Linked DNA regions of Schizosaccharomyces pombe. The gene in region 3 interacts genetically with the main gene of each other region. Each region holds a gene or a part of one and is shown on either strand. Other genes may lie near its edges.

The links.
Region 1: of rec12 (region 3) and fbh1, a mutation in one rescues a mutant of the other (synthetic rescue), as found in Schizosaccharomyces pombe (one study listed by BioGRID).
Region 2: of rec12 (region 3) and kms1, a mutation in one rescues a mutant of the other (synthetic rescue), as found in Schizosaccharomyces pombe (one study listed by BioGRID).
Region 4: of rec12 (region 3) and dbl2, changing one suppresses a phenotype caused by changing the other (phenotypic suppression), as found in Schizosaccharomyces pombe (one study listed by BioGRID).

What each region holds. Positions count from the first base shown.
Region 1 is NC_003423.3:2,731,101-2,736,584, reverse strand, and holds fbh1 (DNA helicase I, ubiquitin ligase F-box adaptor Fbh1), read right to left. Parts: upstream 3,376-5,484; 5' UTR 3,290-3,375; coding exon 1,480-3,289; exon of another isoform or gene 1,440-1,479; coding exon 613-1,439; 3' UTR 501-612; downstream 1-500. Other genes in the region: SPOM_SPBC336.16 (uncharacterized protein), read left to right, coding at 3,669-3,884; SPOM_SPBC18A7.02C (seven transmembrane receptor-like protein), read left to right, coding at 4,372-4,440, 4,494-4,572, 4,624-5,484. UniProt on the Schizosaccharomyces pombe protein: Involved in ATP-dependent DNA-unwinding in a 3' to 5' direction, and ATP-ase activities stimulated by the single-stranded DNA-binding protein ssb1.
Region 2 is NC_003424.3:3,461,167-3,466,025, reverse strand, and holds kms1 (protein Kms1), read right to left. Parts: upstream 3,129-4,859; 5' UTR 2,962-3,128; coding exon 2,899-2,961; exon of another isoform or gene 2,768-2,898; coding exon 2,328-2,767; exon of another isoform or gene 2,282-2,327; coding exon 961-2,281; 3' UTR 718-960; downstream 1-717. Other genes in the region: sei1 (seipin), read left to right, coding at 20-484, 582-717. UniProt on the Schizosaccharomyces pombe protein: Has a role in karyogamy, recombination and segregation during meiosis. Although it has been shown to associate with the spindle pole body it is unlikely to be involved in its formation or maintenance.
Region 3 is NC_003424.3:1,771,191-1,774,853, reverse strand, and holds rec12 (DNA topoisomerase type II (DSB-forming) Rec12/Spo11), read right to left. Parts: upstream 1,930-3,663; coding exon 1,649-1,929; exon of another isoform or gene 1,591-1,648; coding exon 1,482-1,590; exon of another isoform or gene 1,432-1,481; coding exon 1,354-1,431; exon of another isoform or gene 1,290-1,353; coding exon 1,161-1,289; exon of another isoform or gene 1,092-1,160; coding exon 651-1,091; downstream 1-650. Other genes in the region: UBA/TPR/DNAJ domain protein Ucp7, read right to left, coding at 1-596. UniProt on the Schizosaccharomyces pombe protein: Required for formation of the double-strand breaks (DSBs) that initiate meiotic recombination. Required for crossover recombination and chiasmatic segregation of chromosomes during meiosis I.
Region 4 is NC_003421.2:308,462-313,627, forward strand, and holds dbl2 (DNA recombination protein Dbl2), read left to right. Parts: upstream 1-1,852; 5' UTR 1,853-2,077; coding exon 2,078-4,225; 3' UTR 4,226-4,434; downstream 4,435-5,166. Other genes in the region: qns1 (glutamine-dependent NAD(+) synthetase), read right to left, coding at 1-20; SPOM_SPCC736.02 (uncharacterized protein), read left to right, coding at 4,722-5,166.

The DNA.
Region 1 (5,484 bases), on a different chromosome or scaffold from region 3:
CCCGTGATTATCAACAAACGGATCTTAACTAGTATTCCAACATATGACATATAGTGACACGCAACGTAGTGTAGTATGCTGACACGCTAATAAAGGCAAACGACCTTCGGTACCTTAATTCTAATACAAACTGTTTATAACTGCGTTATATTGTTAGCAAAGCCACTTAACGAGAGTATCAAAAGTTTGTTTTTTGTTTATTTAGCGTTGCGTGGGAATTCAGATGATGGGAAGTAATTTCTTGCTTGCTAGTTTTTGAAATCATCTTTATGTATGTTTTAGGTATAAACACTTAATTGGGTCATCGACTCACTTAATAGGAATCTTTTAAAGCACAAATATAACTTGATCTTCTGTTTATTTACACGAAGGGTTATTTCCATGGCTTTCTGTGTGTAATACTACAACTACTTTTAACTCTAACATGGAAAGTGCAGCGACAGATTGATATGAGTTTACGTTTATAAGCGAAATAGTAACATAGCTCTATAATGAAAATGTCCACACGAATATACATATTATTAAATGATTATATATTAAAGGTTGTAATAGCAATAGTACATCAATCAATATGGCTAAAATAGATTTTAAAAGAAACAAATCAAATAGTTTCTACTGATCATGTACAGCAAACAATTGATTTTCAATAAATAGCATCGATCTTTTAAGCCGTTCAGATGTATTCGCAATATAGTTCTGCCAAGCGCCTGAAAGAACTCCAAAAAATATATCCCATACTGATTTCTCATTTGCTTCGACCAAAAGATTGTATCCTTCAGCAGGGGTTTCATAAAAAAAGCTAAACTTGTCAATCTGCCAGTCGACAAAAAGAGCAACTTTTCCAGGTTGCAGCTGATCTTCCGTTAAAATGCCACCAGCAAAACGAACAAGTCCGCACTCTAATGCGTATAATTTGGTTATAGTGTCATTAAGGATAAGGCGTTTTTTAGCTCGCGTAAGAGCAACATAAAGGATATTGATTTCCTCTTGCAAGTACCTCGAAGATCCAATTCGTGAAAAAGAAACACTATCAAATTTTGGTCGAAAATCATTACCCAATTGAACATTATCCCATTCAAGACCCTTAGATTGATGTGCTGTTGCCAAAATAATACCGTTGTCACCATCGTCTTTAGAGTCCATCAATCTTTTTTCACAATTGTCCAATCGGCTCAGAAAGCTTTCACTAAATAATTCGTCGGCCATATCATATACTAAAGCCAATTCGGCATCTTCTTCGGCTGAGTTTTTTACGTGCACTTCAAATTCTCCCCAAGAGGAAAAGTCTTTTAACTTTGGGTGCGAAGGGCGCTGCCCATGCGCTAGTTCTGAACCACTTCGCAAAAGTTGGAATGCTTTTTTCCTCATTGAGCCAAGAATAGCAATGGGTATCTCCTTAGGTAATGACACTGATAGCCGAATCGATTGTAGGATTAATTCTGTATACGTTAGCTTTTATCAATATAAACCATTGCAAACCTTTATTAGTGCGAAAAATAATCGTATGAGGAAAAAATCGAAACGCTCCACTAACATTGTTGGGATTACTTGCTGAAGACCAATACGCATGGTCATTTTGTACCCCTTTAAGCTTAACGTTCTCTCCCTTTAATGAAAGCAAAAAATTTGCATATTTTGCAACAGAGTTTCCAAACCGGAAACTCTTAGTAAGGCACAGTTGCTTTGTGGAAGGGTACAAATTTTCATTGAAAGCACATGCATTTGCACCACGAAAACCATAAATGCATTGGTGTGCATCCCCAACGATGACAATTCGGGCGTGTTTCTGACGATAAATAAGGTCGACCATACACGGAGTAAAATCTTGAGCCTCGTCAAAAAGAATGTAGTCATATTTTGAAAAAATATTAGGGAATTCATACAAATGTAATAATTTCATATATGCATCAGGTATGAGAGGAGCATGGGTATATTCAAAGTTTACAATAAGAGACCACAATTTTTTTGTATAAGCCAAAAGCTTCTCTTTAGAGAGTTTTGTAACTTCCAGGCTTCTTTTACTTATATGACGAAAACCAAGCTGCCAGTCAGTGGAGTGCATGAACCTATTTAATGTAAACATGATATGAGAAGCTACCAAGCTAGCGGATGGTGTACCCGGATTATTTTTCCGATTTGCCTTTGGAAATGCAACTTGCAAAGACAAAAGTGAAGCTATAGTAGAATTTGATAATTGCCGCTCAAGTTTAGCTTGCGGCAAATCGGCCTGTGCAAGTATAGCACCATAAGCAAGACCATGCATGGTGGAGCATTTGACATTAAATGGAAATCGTAATTCTGCGTCTTCTTTTGCGGCCTTGTTAAAAGCAACATATAAAATTTTATCTTTTGGACGAGACTTGGCAAATTCCAATAATGCTTTGGTTTTGCCAGTACCAGCGAATGCTTTAACTTTTAGAACCTCTCCTGGGTTTAATTGACATTCAACAATCATTTTTTGTTCAGAGGTAAGGCCCTTAGTGTTAGGTTCATCATAAGGGGATTCAATGACAGCTACAATGTTGTGAATCCTAGTACACGAAGTAATTAGTGTTTGTGAAAGTGGGTCACGATAATGTTCATAATCTGTGCGGACTACAGTAAAGATAGAGTCCAGAAAATAAGCAAATTCTATAGCGGACGTTGAAGATAGCATATAAAGCGTATTGAAAAAATACCACAAATCATCTTCAAATAGTATCCCTACGAACAAACTTAAAAGCAGATTGCTAGTAGTAGTCCTACTTTTTAGAGAAGATATAGCTTCTCGAGCTGCAGGGGAGAAAAAGCTTTGAACCTGCATGCATATTGAGCTTATCCATTCTAAAGGAACATCATCTATGTGAAAAAAAGATGCTTTAATAGAACTTCCAAGATGATCAACTGTATGAGTCTCACTGACAAGATGGTCAATAGCATGTCCAATTTGTTCCACTTTCATAGGACCCGGGGGAAGCCCACAAATATTTTTTATTTCATCTGATTTACTATAGTATTCTCTCTCAGCTGGTGTGGATGAAATTTGGGTGCCATTGACAAATCCATTCATCGCTGAGCTCGAAACACCAGCAGCATAAGAACCACGAAGCAATCGATTTCGACGAATTCGTAACTCATAATTTTTCTTTTTCCAAAAAAGGTCATTAGAAGAGTCTAAAATAGTTTGAAAGGATGGGAATACACGTATGAAACTTTGGATATCCTGAACAGAAAGAAACCTGCAGATCAATGGGATAATTTCAAGTGGCAGTCTATAAAATTTGCAGCTATGTAAATGTTGAGCACTCATATAACTAAGAATTTGCTGACTGGGTGCTTGACTGAAAAGAAAGAACAAATTGCATTAGAAGAATTGCTTGTTGGTTGGGTATGTGCAAATTTAAGAGTAGTAAAAATACCAGAACTAGTTTATGAATGAGCAACGAACATTAAAATAAATCCAATCTTTTAAAATAAAATACATTCCTTAACCTATATAATTATTTCTCTCCGAAGCATGCTGTCGTTACAGAAATACTTTAACCATCTGCAAATTGAAAGAATTCCCATAATTTCTTATGTAAAAGTAAGTTTCATTGAATAAATAATTAACTCAAAAAGACTCTATTACTTTTTGTGTTGAAAAAATCCTCTACTTTATTTTGTAAATTGTAATTTTTTATTAATTGATGTATCATTCTTATTCTCATGATTTAACTAATTATTTATATAATTATTTCTCATCAACGACCTCTTGGTTGGTTTTTATTATACTTTCTTTAGACACTATAAATGCCACGTTTAGCAATATCACTTTTGTTGATATTTTAATGGAAACCGGTTTCACCAAAAATAGAAGTTTAGACCAGACAACATGCGGTATTAAATTCGGCTTCGTCAACTAAATTTTTTTCTACACCTAGTCTATTTATTCATCAATGCTCTCAATTTATTAAATGAAACCGAATAGAAGGATAAATCCTCACAATTTTCTTTAATTGCGGAAAATACATTTTACGGTTGGTAATTTCTGGGCCGATAACAAAGAAAGAATTCACCAGTAGTCAATGATGTTGATCCTTAGCGAAATTCAGCAAGTCAAGCAAAATTGTTTATAGAAAGAAAAAATTAATTAAAATGTTGATGTCCAGGCTCGAATCAACACCTTTCTCAGCTATTTTTTGAACCTTGCTAATCGCCTAACTATAAATAAATTACTATTTATTAAGTAGTCAATAACCTCCACCAACTTCTGAATCTCAACTTTGGCAGATAATCCGTGAATCGGTTTTGGGAAAAAATATTTTGTACATTGATTTACATAACATTGGTATTTAATTTTTGTTCCCAGTCCTTCGAAGTATAAAAAATCTAATGCTCTCATCATAAACCATGAAATTACTGATATCTCTTCTATGGAGTATATTCTTTTCCATAGTTTATTCAGAAAAAACATTACTGGTAAAACAATCAGATTTCTTGCGTATCATTTGCTAACTGCGGCTTCTTGCTAGAATTTCAAGCATTATGAATTGTGCAATGGCATTTACTCGAAATCGGAATCTGGAGGGTCTTTAAATCCAGCAATTTATGGTATGTACATATCTTTTTTTACGCTTTTATTTAAAAAACTTACGACGTTAGTGAATTGGACTGAACCATGGGGTCAAGAAGATGAAGTTGAGGTTTTGATATTCAATTGGAAAGAAATCCGCAAGTTAGGTGCATTCCGTTCTGATGATCAATTCACTTACATTTGCGATTACGATGCGGTATACACGGATCACCTATGTGAAGCCGATCAACTGGGACTATATTTGTGGAACTCAACGTCAGCAAAATCCATTCGTTCTTATATAATTCCGACAAATGCTGACCCTCAAAACATTATATATGAAATCTCTCAGTCAGGTTATTATTGCATTTGGTCTCATTCGAAAAAAATGTTACCTTATCAAGCTCTTGTCAATTGGCAAAATGCGTATGGTGGGCTTCCCGCTTCTCAATTCCCTAGAATGCCTATATCTGGTGGAATCACAATCGCTTATAGTGTAATTCTTGCACTTTGGATGTTTTTCCGATTTCAATATAAACATTCGATTGTTACCGTTCAAAAGGCAATTATGTTCTTGCTAATCTTTTCGTGTGCTCAACAGGCTGTCACTTCTATTGTGTTGGATACAGAAAATTTGAGAAATCGGGGGAACTTCACATGGTTAGGAGAGACTCTGGTGTCAATTTTGTTTGCGTGTCAGTTAGTCTTGGACCTTGCGTTATTATTAATACTCTCTTGGGGATATACCCGTTATTCAACTAACATGCGTGATCGACTATTTACTGAAGCAAAAATTCCTTTAATAATTTGTTTCTTCGCTCTTTTTGTAGTTCGCTTCTTTGCAATTACCATTCAATCTATTCACCTCGGCCTTTGGTTTTGCTTTTTCTTCCTCACCGCTTGTATTTCAGCGCTATATATCTTGTTTGGTGCCTTTGTTGCGTTACCTT
Region 2 (4,859 bases), 1.7 Mb from region 3:
TGCTGACATACTTTAATAGAACGGGTCTCAACTTTCCAACTGCAGAGGTCAGATTGGACCATTTCTCAATTGATCCTAGGTTACCTGGCACATCTTTGCTTCAAATCAAAATGCCGCATTCTCCTCGAAATAGTGCTATGGGCAATTTTATGGTTTCTGTCGATTTTCAAGATAGAAATCAAAGATCTCTGAAGCAGGTTAAACGAACAGTCTTGCTTCCTCATAGGTCTCCTATTCACGAATACCTTAAGCTAATTGTATGTTCACCTCTTTACTTCATGGGGATTTTGGAAGAAACAGATATTGTCAATGTCCGTTTGTTCGAATCTGAAACATTTGCTAAAAGTTTTAATTCAATTACAACACTTTCCGTTAGATTTTCTGTCAAAAATACTCCAGCTCAAGCTATTGTCAAAATTTATTCTAAAGATATTGAATTTTACGAAGCGACTCTAGCTTTTGCATCAAAATTGCACGGCATGCGGTAAGTTTTACTTTTTGATTTACCTTCTTCATTTTTTTTACTTTACTCAATTTCTTTACCTGTTATACTTTTTCACAAACTAACTTGTCCTTACTAGCTGGTTCATGTATACGCATAAGGTTTCCGCATTTCTCGTTTTCACATCTTTATTTTGGTTTACGGGGATAACCTCAACGATAATTACCTATCTTATTGTCTCTTCCACATCTGAAACAAAAGCAACAAGACGTTGAATCTTCTCACATCTTCACTTGCATCTAAAATCATAATCGTCACAACCATAAAAATACATTATTATTAAATTAGAAAGTTCCATTATTGCTTTATCCGTTAGACCCATTATTCAGCTGCACCTTTATGTACAAAAAGTTGAAAAAGGGTAAAGCAATTTAAATCAGCACTGATTTTTTTTTTAGAAAAAAAAAATCTTTCGCTAGCATCTTCATTTTCGTCATTATTTATTAGTCGCCTAATTATCAAGAAGGCTGTACCAGTTCATACCGTCCATAAAGGAGTATAATTATATGTTCGCAAAATGTAAATACAACACGCAAAAAAGCTTGCAATAGCTCGGCGCACAATATGTAATCAAGTCCGTAAAAACAGGCAAAAAGAAAAAGGACGTAAAAAAGTCGCAAAATGTTGGATTTCATAACCGATAAAAGAAGCAAAGGTTGTCCTTTCGTTGCTAGAAAATGGGGGTTGTCTGCATTAACAGTATCTTGAGACGCCATAAAATCTTTAGAGGAGTTATTCATTGTTGTATTAGTTGCCATGAGTCCTGTTTCATCGTCACTAAAGCTCGAAAGAACTGTGCATTCGTGGCTTGATTCTTCATATGTTGGCATAGAGGAATCGTACCGACGACAAAAGTCGTTTAGGGTTGGAGACATTTTGGAAAGGCTTTGAATAATCCATTTTTGGATACCAATTTCCTCTGAAAGCATCAAAAATCCAGCAACCAATTCTTTGTTTCGCGAACTTTCAGCAGTAAGAGAGCTTTGCAATGATTGACTTATGTGTTTGCATTCTTCTATCGTTTTCTTTTGTTGTTTACATTTAAATTCCAATTCTCTTAATTCTTCACTTTCCCGCATTCCAACCGCAGGAATAGAAATGCAAACTGATGGTTGAGTGAAAGAAAGGCCAACCTCTTTGGAGTAAACCATTTCGTCAAGGTTAGAGGGTGATAAAAATTCATCTCCTTTTGGGTTATTAGACAAAGCAATTAAATGTTTTTCTCTAGTAAGATCATCTATGTGGTTGTTTAGCTGATTATTAGAATTTTTTAATTCATGGTTCTCTAAAGCAAGCCGACGAATAGTATTCTCATTTTCACTTGACCGAGATGCAGCCAAGCTTAATTCCTCAATTTTCTTAGTCTGATCTGTAAACTTACGCAAGAGAGTGGCATACCGAACTTGCAAGGCTGAAAGCTCTTTTTTTGTGGAGTAGAGGCCAGAGTTTGTCTGTATGAGTTCTGACTGAATTTTCTGAAAGTTTTTGTGAATGTTTAGATTTTGAGCCTTAAGAGTCTTAATTTGGTTATTTTGCGAATTATTGGCTACCTTAGATTCATTATATTTGGAATCTGCCATATTTAGTTGGTGGGTAAGTTCATTCACTTTTCCTTCTAAAATATCTACAGTACGAGATTTCTTTCTAGCTTGATCTCGAGCTTTATCTAACATATCCTGGAGTTCTGTGATTTGCTTGATTAGATCATGGTGCCCGTTGGAAAAATCAGGTTTATCCTTCCTAACAAGTGGCATCTCAGTATTTCTGGACGACGTATTTCTTCTTGTTAGAATTTTAATGACTTTTCTAAAAAAAAAATTCTTACCTATTTAGTGGTGTAGATTGGGCAAATGGAGTTCGAAGAATATTGACAAAATCACTGTCGGTAAATTGAGACATCGGCGGCAAGGACAGTCTCTTAGACATCATTTGAGAAGGGTTTAAGGATTCAGGAGAGGCATTAGAAGATGATTTTGAATGTGCAGAATTGACAGAGTGTTCATTTGCATCCTCTTTGATAGAATTTTTGGAATTCTGTTGCTCCATCGAAGGCTTTTCAGCTTGATTCGCAAAAGAGTCATCTTCGTTTTCAGTAAGTTTTTTATATACGTCTCGAAAATTATCCTTTGTAATAGAGAGATCTGCATTTTGCCGTACGAATTCGAGTGTACATTGTTTTTGGAATTCGCTCAAAAGAGGTGGTGCAGAAGCGGGATGTAAGAGTTGTAGGTCATTGATGATTGGCAAAAAGTTGGAAAGATGAACCTAAGAAAATTTTTTGTTAATAGTTTATCCTATTGGTAATTGGGTAAAGCGAGAAAAACCAGAGTCTTGAGAGTTTGTCTCTGACTCAATAAACAAGATCTACCTGCATAAGCAATCAATTTTTTTCATACTTTTCCTTCATGTTTAAAGTCATATGAATCGAAAATCAAGTCAAAATCGCGTTCATTTAGCATTTTGGAAAGGGAACTGGCAATTATAATTATACAGGAAACGAACCACAATTCTAGTGGGAATGGGATTCAGTTTTGAATTTTTTTGTTAGAATTTATCATAAAGCTGCGTGCATTTCATAACAGTTCACGAATTCACCGCATTTCTTAAGTGTTGTGAGTTGGGTTTCGTGCAAGGTCTATCCAAGGGTTTGGCAGTAGGGCTGTTGAGCAAGTGGTTTGAGAGACCAAAAAGAAGTACACAGAAAAAGACGGATTAAAATAAAACTTGAAAATAGATAAAAAGATGTTAGAAGAAATCATGTTTATGCTTGATTTAAGAGCAGCTAGAAAAGTAAGGCCACAACTTGGTCGTACTGTGCATACTTAAGTGATAATTCAAATGAAATCGCAAATTAAAAAAAAAAAAAAAAAAAATTATTTTTAGTGAAGTAGAAACTATTCGTATTTGTTTTATAGATCGATCGATTCCTCTGAGAACTTCAAGCGAATTTGCAGTAATTTAGAACGCCAGCATTTATAATTGCGGGTCAAACAACGATCGCCCAAGAATCTTTCATAGACTCCAAATAAGATTGGTTGATTACTTAACTTATATTTTGATCCTTGAATCGTTTTAGTCAATCAACGTCGTATATATTGTACTTTTTAAAAAATACAAGGTTTTGATCGTAAAAAAAGAAATGCATAGAAAAGGTCAGATTTTTTCATCCAAGAATGTGCAATAAATACAGAAATTACTTCTTTTTCTTTCAATTTAGCCAACTCTTTCGAAAACGTCTTCTATTTACATTTTCTATATAGCTACTACTCAGTCAAAACAGTTGGTTAGCATGTTACTTTATGAGAAGCGAGCGATGTGACGTCAAAGGTTTTTTGGCGAAATTAACACTGTCCATATGTATATGTGTTTGAGCGTGTAAAACCTGGTTTCTGCCATTTACATATTTTGAAACCTCTGTACGCTAGTTTAGTTATTTCTCGTATCATTTTATTTTTAACTGGTGCAAGAGACAAGAAAATTCATTTACTTTCGTGAAGATTTGAAAAATTCGTTTGTCAGCTTAGAATTCTTTGCTAGCAGCATTATTTGTACATTTTCAATTGGACCTCTCTTAGCTTTCAAATTTTATTAAATCTTCTTTGTTTTCTTTCTCTTTTGTACGAAGTGATCATCGAAAAGATAGAGAACATCGGGGTTTCCATTTATGGGCGATAATGTATTTTTAGAGCCTGATCCATGGGCATCTAGCAGTAATTGGGGTTCACCAGTGAAGCCTTTAAATTATAAAACAGCAATTGGTTAGTAAAAGTTTTGTTCTTCTGTTTTTTCCTTCTCAATTAATAGTTAATTTTACGGATCGATGCATTCTATCATTGATTTGTTTCTTTAGCTTGATTTTTTTTTTTTTCATCTTTCTTGCTTTTTTACTTACTTACTGTAATGATGCTAACCTTTTTCTTTTTCTTTTTTTTGTCTATAGGTAATTCATCCATTCCTTTGCAATATCGAAATTATTGGGACGTGTTTCAAGCAAACAATGTTCTCTTATTTCCAGAAGAAGAAAGTTATTCTGATATATTTCATGTTCCTCAAGATGTAATGAAAGAGTTCTTTACCTTGATTGAATCATCAAGCAATCAACCCTTACGGCAAATTCAGTTTTTCGTTTTGCTTGCCTTGGTTGCCTGTTATCAATTAGGTGTTCCTAGCACATTGGAACAGATTTTCAAGCAAAGAAATGGTAAGGCTTTTTTTTATCTTTGCTTTTTTTTGTCTTTTTGCTTACTTCCTCCTCCTTAGTCCTGCCCATTTTGCAGCGTTTTAATCCGGAACTTTTCAATCGTAGTTCTGATAATGAAACCCCTCTTTTTCCTAATAATTCTCCTCCTGCTTCAAC
Region 3 (3,663 bases):
TCGTCAGAAAAGCCCAAATCGCGTAGCTTTTCATACATCTCGTTGGAACTTAACTTATCCTTTGCAGTATTCATATTAGTAATTTCATTATGGTTTTCAAAGGGGATAGAGGTTTCCGAACCAATATTCTCAAAGGCGGGTAAACTGACAGGCTGATGCGGCTCTAAAGACAAATCCTTTAAAGTTACTTTCTCGGAAGCCGATACTTGTGGTTGTGAAATCGGCCTTTTATTTTCTTCAATCTTATCATGAATAACTGCATCTTTATCTCTAGGAGTATTTGATAATTGATGCAAAATTTCAAGGTTTTCAAAGGGATCGTAATTTGAAGATTTGGGGGTGGAATTGGAGTCCGGAGTTCCAACTTTCTGCCTTTCTAGTTCTTTTAAGGAAATTTTATTATCCGTTTTCTTTTGAAATAAATTAGCAAAAGGGTCTTCGGGCTTTGATGCTTTCAATGGAATTTGTGCATTCTTTTTCTGGGCTACTGGGGCGGGAAGGGAGTAGGATGGCGTTCTACTATTATTATTACTGTAATTATTTTGATTAGATGGTGTAGATTTATCGTAAAAATTGAAATCTAGCAAGTCATCCATGTTGGAGGCTTTATTATGGGAGTGTAGTGAAAGTAGGTTGAACTATCCAAGAACTTAACGTACTGAGTGCTTTCCACTTTTGTCGGCATCAGCTAATTTTCCTTTGATCCATGAAGGAAATTCTAGAATTGCTTGTATTTCCGCTTTTTTCTGGATAAACAGCATTCGCTGTAGCTGTTCACGAACAACGGGCTCCTTTTGGAAGCCTTCAAATTGTAATAATGTTGTAATCATTTTAATATCCCTTTTATTCAATTTTAAAGAGAATTCTTGGTTTTTATTAAAAATGTCCTCATACAGAGGGCCTAAAAGCTGTAAATTTCGTAATTGACTGTGCGGTTCATGACTGTAGGCATTAGAACCGTACTTGAAACAGGAATAAATGCATAAGCCATGGGGGTCCCAATCAAAAATACCAAAAAATTTAGCATCCGGGAGGGCTTTGGCTAATTTAACTAAAAATTTTCTCGTCATCAAATCTGGAAATCCTTTAGCCTGTTACAAGCAATTAGTTAGCTAGCACTCTAACATCAATATCATTGAAAAGGAAGCATTCTCACTTACTGTAACAATTATTGTATCCGCTAAAGCCTCTTCGGTTAGCGTTTGGAATACCGCTTCCTTTTCGATGACCAAGACCCATTTTGCTGTGGAAGTGATTGATGAAATTCGATGGTGAGAGATTAATAATGGCTGTATTTAGTAAAATTCTTAGTTAGAAAAAACAATTTTTACGGTTATTAAAACTTGAACCTACTTTAGTAGCAGTAATTACTGTCCCGTTTTCAAGAGCAATATGAATGGACCCAAATACCAATCCTTTAGCAGATGCTTCCTAAGATCAAATTAATCGTTAATGAATCTATTTCCAAAGAAATGACTTACAACGTTAAGGTCGGACCTGGAGCAACCAATGGTGTTTGAAATATCTCCAAGCAGCTCATCGACTACGGTTTGTCGCTTGAATAAATCTACATCTCTGTAATAAATATCTCTGCAAATGTAATTAGAACTTAAATCTGAATTTTCGGCGTATAGTACAAAGCAATTACCGCTTAGTGATTACTGTATCCGAAATAACAGCTTCATGAACACAATCTAAAACCCTGAATAGTTGAGCAATTGTTGTTTCATTCCTGGGGAATGAAAAAACCTTAACTTTTTGTCTTTCATTGGCCTTTGAATCTAAGCTGCCATTCCAAGAATTGTGCTTTCGTCTTTTCAAAGCAACATTTACTGAATCTTTGGTAGGCTTACTTAATTGCTCAACAAAATCATGAACAAATTGCTCAATCCATGATCTAACAACTTTTTTTTTATCATTCGAATTCATTTTTTTTACTTTCTGGACGCGTTCAGCATTCTTTGCATTGTCTAGATAATTATGCAAAGCGCGTATGGTTACAGTGTAAAAAATCAATAGCTTAATTCAAATAAGCTATATCTAAGCGAGATTGTTTTCTGAAGAAATGATACATACATTCAATAAATGGGTAATATCAAGGCGAAACAGTATATGTGTTTTCGTTAACTGCTAAAAAATACTTACTGAAGACTTTCCTTCTGATAAAATGGTGTAAGAGAAGACTCACGCGAGCTTTGCGGACTGAATTGGTAAATCGTAAAGATGGATCGAAATTTGAAATTCCTAAACAACTTATGTTCTTGTCTACAGAAAAGTTGAAAGAAAAGTAAATATATTTGAACTCTTTCGAGTTCAAATGCAACATACGACAACTAAGAGCCATAGATCAAGCGGTTACTTAATTTATTTCTATAGTTTTAATTTTCTATAAAAATATGTATATCAACTGTTTCAATAAATATTGTACTTATAATTTCGTTTTGCCAACTCCTTTGTCAAGAGAGAAAACGTAATTAAAAAACATGGTCACAGCCAGGTTCGAACTGGCGACATTCGACTTATTAGATCGACATGATAACCGACTACATCATGCGACCAACTGTTAACTTGATGATTATTTAAACCTATTTATAATAACATTAATGTTAAAAATATGAATGAAACTGACCTTTTTATACAAAAGGTATATATATAAACAAGAAGGACTTTCATTTTAATTTTGATAAGACAGTTTGAAATATCCTCCAATCCAATTTAAGATTGTTTCTAGTTTACAGATTTTCAAATCAGGAATTACTAAGTCATTTGCAACACTAAACATGAAGAAGTAGTCTAACTCACTATCTGCTCGATGTATATGTTAGCATATGCTTTCCTTGTGCCAGCCCTAAAGAGAAACTGACAGTGGTTTGCTTTTGCAAATGAAAAAATAAAATTGGAGAACATACAATTGTACGAAAATGCTACCTATCCAAATGGGTCTTTAACGAATTTTTTAAGCTTAAAAGTTGCCATATGTAGTGTGTTTGCTTGATTCATTAATAGTCATTTATTATGGTGCAATACTTCGTCAAGACAATAGTGATAGCTTTTTTAACTTATTGCGAGAACAGAAGATAGCAATTAATCTGATGTACAAATAACGATAATATTCTAATGACATCAATGGAAAACAATAATGAAAATAGGCACTCCATATTGCTTCCCGAAATTTGTACTTGTGGCATAGCAGATAAACAGGACGAACTAGATAAAAAATGAGCAAGGGTTTCTAAAGGAGAATAATTTCATCAAGTTTTTTTTTTTTGCTTCTTCTTAATAAGTATTTAATACTCAAGAAAACGTAGAAACAATTAGGCAACAATAGCACTGTGGTTTACAGTTACCCTTTCTTATACAGAAAAGATAGAGGTTATGACAACTGTTAAAACATGGAATTTTGCATGATGAACCGGTATTACTTTTGTAAGTTAATACAATAACAAAAAGATAAAAGTTAATAGAAAATTTAGGGAAAAAGAAGTGCAAAGCTCTGAGAATCATTCCGATATACTTAGACAATAGTAAAATAAATAAATACTTAGAACACGGACGGATTTTGCAATTTTAAGAATTAGGAAGTCCCGTAGATATTATTTAGAAGAAATTTTCCAAAGCATAAACGAAGTAGATAAGGAAAGAGCATTTTTGGAAAACAAACTT
Region 4 (5,166 bases), on a different chromosome or scaffold from region 3:
ATGGTTACATATCGTTCCATAATGAACTGAATGCTTAACTTGAGGTTTATTCCCAAACAAGTAATTTAACTTATAATGTTTTTTTCGTACTATAAAAGTTCCAACTATGAGTGAAGATCGAAGTTTCTATTCAAATGTCTATTCACGGTTATGGCAGTAAGTAAGAGCAGGAGGTAGTTGTCATAGTAGAGTCAAGTGTAAATAAAGGGTTCGCATCATATAGCAAAAATGCCAGTTTCCCTAAGTAAGAAAAAGAAAATTTAAATAATTTTAAAGACCCTCTCTGATATTAGTAAAAAGAACCTTAATACTTCTTATGCAAATTTTGGCGACTCTTCTAACTACATGTGTATTAATTGTACATTACTACATAGCTTAAAAATTGATTTATAAAATCAGAATAATTGTAATTTTTATTTGATATTGCAATACAAATTCTAGTTTTAGCGATATATCTTCTCAAGTGAAGTCATTTCTGGGACTTCCTTTAATAAAAAAATTTGCCTATCTTTTTCAGATATACGAGCTAATAAATGAAATTTTTTGATTTAAAGTCTGTCTGGTTTTATTAGTGTTACTCGCTTATAATTACAGGTTTTTTGATGATTATAGAGCAAGCTGATATCTGGAATACGCACAACAGTAATTACATTTTTTTAATAGTACAAAATTGTTTTAATTTTATCCTTGAAAATATTTCATGATTTAATTAATATACTTAGTTCTTGGAGCATATAATCGAAATTACTTAGCTTAAAGAAGAAGAAGCAAAGCGACAGATGCCATAATGGTTGATACTCATTTTTTAACTCCCCTTCAGTTACTTCTTGTTGCAAATTATAGACAGATGATTCTTCAGCTGCTCAATAAATTTAATAGTTTTAGTGATTGCAAAGATCAGTCTTCTTTTTTGAAAGGGTATTAATTAGAATTGACAAAAGATTTCAGGTTTATTATTACAATGAAACAACTTTCTTCATCTTCTTGGGCTTTTTTCTCCTAAATTTCGTCCAAGTACTAAATTTTAGGTAAATTTCTATCAGTGCGCTTAAACCAACTTTAATAACTTAATTTGTACCTATCTTCGACATGGTGATGAGAATTGCAAGTTCAAGATTTCGAGCAGAATTACCCTCTATAGGCCTTTTATGTTGCTAAAATTATAACATAAGTACTTTTGCACCTAATCGTATCATCAATCATCTTTGATGAATTTTCTTGCCTGCAAACCTCAAAAGCGATAGAAGAACAAAAGAATCAGTTTTATCTCCAACTGCTATGTTTAGATTCTCTATTATAATGCGACGATAGATACAAATTTACAAGATAAATAATTTTACATTACGAATATTTGAAGCAATCTGCCTCTGTAAGCTCAACTGTAAACTTCATGGTTTAAGGTGAAAAAAGACATCTTTTTTTATATATCATTATGTATACACACAGTCTGTCCCTATGAAACTATCAATCGGGATTATTAACCATTGTTTCCGTTTCTCGATACAGGATATTGAAAATTATCTAACAGTTTTGCTTCCTTGGGCACTAAGAGACCTTTTACTAAAGAAAAACCCATCAAATATTAGACCTTGTAGATTAGTAAAATTAATAAAAATAAGCATCTCTCTTGAAACCATCTCAAGAGATAATCTGCTTCTGCTTGCGTATTATAAAGTTACCTTCAATCATTTCGGCGTGTAAACAAGTACCTCATATCAATAACCAAAAGCTCAACTCGTTTGTAGTTCATAAAGAAAAAGAAAAGAAAAGGAAACCTTGTTTAAGGATTCTACAAAGATGTAATTTTCTGGCTTGAGATCATTTACTTTCCTAGATTTCAACTTTCTGCTGTATACCAACCATTTCCTAACTACCATCCAACAAAAGCACGTAATTCCCATTCCTAAAGCGAGAGCAATTAATGCTCAAATGAGGTTTATACATGAAATAGATATTCTCACTCTTATTCTTTAATTAATTATTAAATAGGGTGGTTTGTGAGTTTTTTTCAACAATATTAAGCTTTTCGTAAGCCACCTTTCGGAACTGCCTTTACAGGCTTTAAAACTTATATTCTATGGATACAAGTTCCAATGTTTTTCATTATCAAGTATTGTGGACGTCTGATAAAGCAAAAAAAGTAAAAGTTTGGAAAGATGGGACAATGCGCTTCCACAGCTTCAATAATCGTGGAATTCTCTACGATTCTGATAACCGAGTCGTAGATGATTTTTTCCTTAACAACAAGAGAATTGTTCTGGATTCTGAAATTGAATTTAATAGAACTATTGTTTACGTTGAGAATTTACAAACAACTACTGAAGCGAATATTCCACCTATACCGAGGAAATCAAAATTGAGTGAGACAGGGAAGAGGCCAGCTTATTTATTAAAACCATTCCAGCCTCCATTTCACTCCGCTAACTCAGATGTATCTAACAATTCAAATGGTGCTTTATCGTCAAATATGTTAAAAACACACGCTCATCATACAAATTCAACAAAATCCACGATCTTCCGGAACGCAAATTTGCAATCTTATGGAGTAGATGACTCAGATATTGGTAGTTTGAGATGTTCAAGTAAGCATCAACTGTCAGTAACACCGGAAATACAACCCAAAGCTAAGTTTAGACCAAACTCATATCTAGCTTCTTCTGTTGAGGAATCTAATCGAGCTAACAATACCTCTCCCTATCCCCCATCTAACTCATCCGTAACTGCGCTACCGAAACCTTCGAAAATTGCATATATCCCTGTTTTGTCAAAACCCAAGTCTTTTAATGGCACCTTGGTTGAAGATCCTGTAGAAGAATTTGGAGAAGACGACATAGCTTCTGACTTTTTTTCTTCCCCTTCTGCCGATCTCGAGGCAGATGATTTTACCACTCTAAATAATTCAAATGCTGGTCATTTGTTACAAAACCTAAGTAATGATAACGTAAGTGTCTCCGTGAAGGCATTAGAAAATGGAAATGAAGAAGTTTCTAATAATCATGCTCGATCTCCTCATTCTTCCCGCGCTTGTAATACCATACCTTCCAACAAAAACGATGGGCTAAATGATGATCATCAAAGACAAGATTCTTCTGTTGCAGAACCCAGTCCTACTTCTAAACGTCTCCGTTTGACTCGCCTTCCGTTACCTCTGCTTCGGAAACCCACGGGGAAACGACAAAACTTTATTAATATCACAGTTACCGACCCCTCAAAAAACTTGTACGAAAGAAGTGTCAAAACTGCTGCCGAGCTGGCATCGCTTCAAAATGTAACAGAAACAACTGATAATGAAATACCAAACTCTCCTGATTTTCTAGATGCAGCATCAGAAGAGGATGAACACATTCCTTCGCTAGATTCGTCATCTCTTTTAACACCTTTGGCTTTGCCCAACAAAAAAGCCTTTCAACCCGTGAAGTTTCGTGTACCGTCTTTTTCATCTCCTTTAGTTAAACCAGCATCTTCGTCCTCGTTTGGTAGGAGTCACTCTCACTTAGGCACGTCCCTTCGCTCAAACGAACTTAATGGATCTAGTGCTTCTTCTTCAATCTTTCTACAATCCAACAATGCAGTCAATCCTAACGTTTCACCTTCTACTGTGCTTGAACATGCCAAACATCCTTCCTTGGCCAAACATTCAGGTGTATCGCTGAGAACAGGCTTGTTGATATATCCTAAATATGCAAATGGTTCGAAAAGAAAAGACGGTTTTGGAGCTACTTCTATAATATCTTCAGGGGAACATTCGTCGTTGCCTAAAAACTCGAAATCCAGAAATGTGTCGGTATTTTCTAGCCCTTTTAATGTCCCTTCGTTTACTGTTTCTTCTTCGGACCAAGTCCAAAAGAAAAAAGGAAATGTTCCTAATGCTATTGAAACGGACTCTTCTCCTTCGGATACCATTTCATCCTCGCCTACTGTTCGAGCTGTAAATCTCTCACCCAGCAAAAACCAAAAGCCTCCGAAAATACTTACCAAAATTCCGGATATTTTTTCTAAAGCGGGAAAGAAATCTCCTATTTTACCAACTTTTCAAGAGTCTTGTTCGTTACCTATTGAGCCTTTTTCGTCAAACATTACGGATTTGCCATTTGTAAATACAGTAACACTTGCTTCAACGAGTAGCAAGATCAAAAGGGCAAAGTTAAAAATGCTAAAATTTAAGCATGCCATGACTACACAAGGACGCGATCTCGATTCGGACGAAGATGGTGACTTTATTTGAAATTAATTTTTCTTTCGTACGTTGAAACTTCTCTCTCAAGCCGACTTTGTTACATATAATTTTTAATTCAAAAAACAGTACTGAATTTTGATTTCTGGTTTCCTTCATGTATTATTATCAACATTTATTTTTCCATAGTTCATTTAGGTTTTAGCTATACTTATTTAGCTCTTTTACATATAATTAATTTTTTTTTTTTAAACATTAGATTTCAGCTTGTTTTTGGTGTTGTTAGTACAATTCTAGGTTTTGATTTTCATTTTTTAGTAGCACATACATTGCTTTTTCAAAACCTTGAGTTTCTTCTTTGAACCTTTGAGCAAATAAGTATCAGATTTATTCTTTTCTTTTAAAAAACCAACTATTTGGGTTATTATGAAAATGTTGTAAATATTTTAAGTTAAATTATCTTTTGTAGTCATTTATTTTCTATACATGTTTAAATTTTTCAGCACTAAATAGTGTCTGTTGGTGAGCTCCAAAAATCTTGTTAAAGATGGGTAAAAAGCGAAAACAGACCATAAAAAATGACTATAATGAAAAAATTACGAAAAGAAAGGTCAAAAATAATTTGACTGATGGAAAAGCTAGAGCGTTAACGGTTTTTGAGTCTTTACCTTTAGAAGTTTTAAGATTAATATTTTTGTTATCCAATAATTCGAATTTGGCAGTGACTTCTCGTAGTTTGAGACACCGATTATCTTTAAGGAATAATACGCCTATCTTCATGCCTATTGATTTTACTCTTTCAATGGTACCCAAAAGCATCATTCTCTCTATTCAACGTGGATTGCTACGCAGGTATTTTACACTTCAAATCCTTACAAAAATTGACGAATTAGTCATTTCGGGGTTTGTTAAAAAAAGCCCTAATGAAGATATAAAAGATGGTCGAGTTATACATGCAGGACACGAAGGTTTTATACCAAAACGTATTCTTT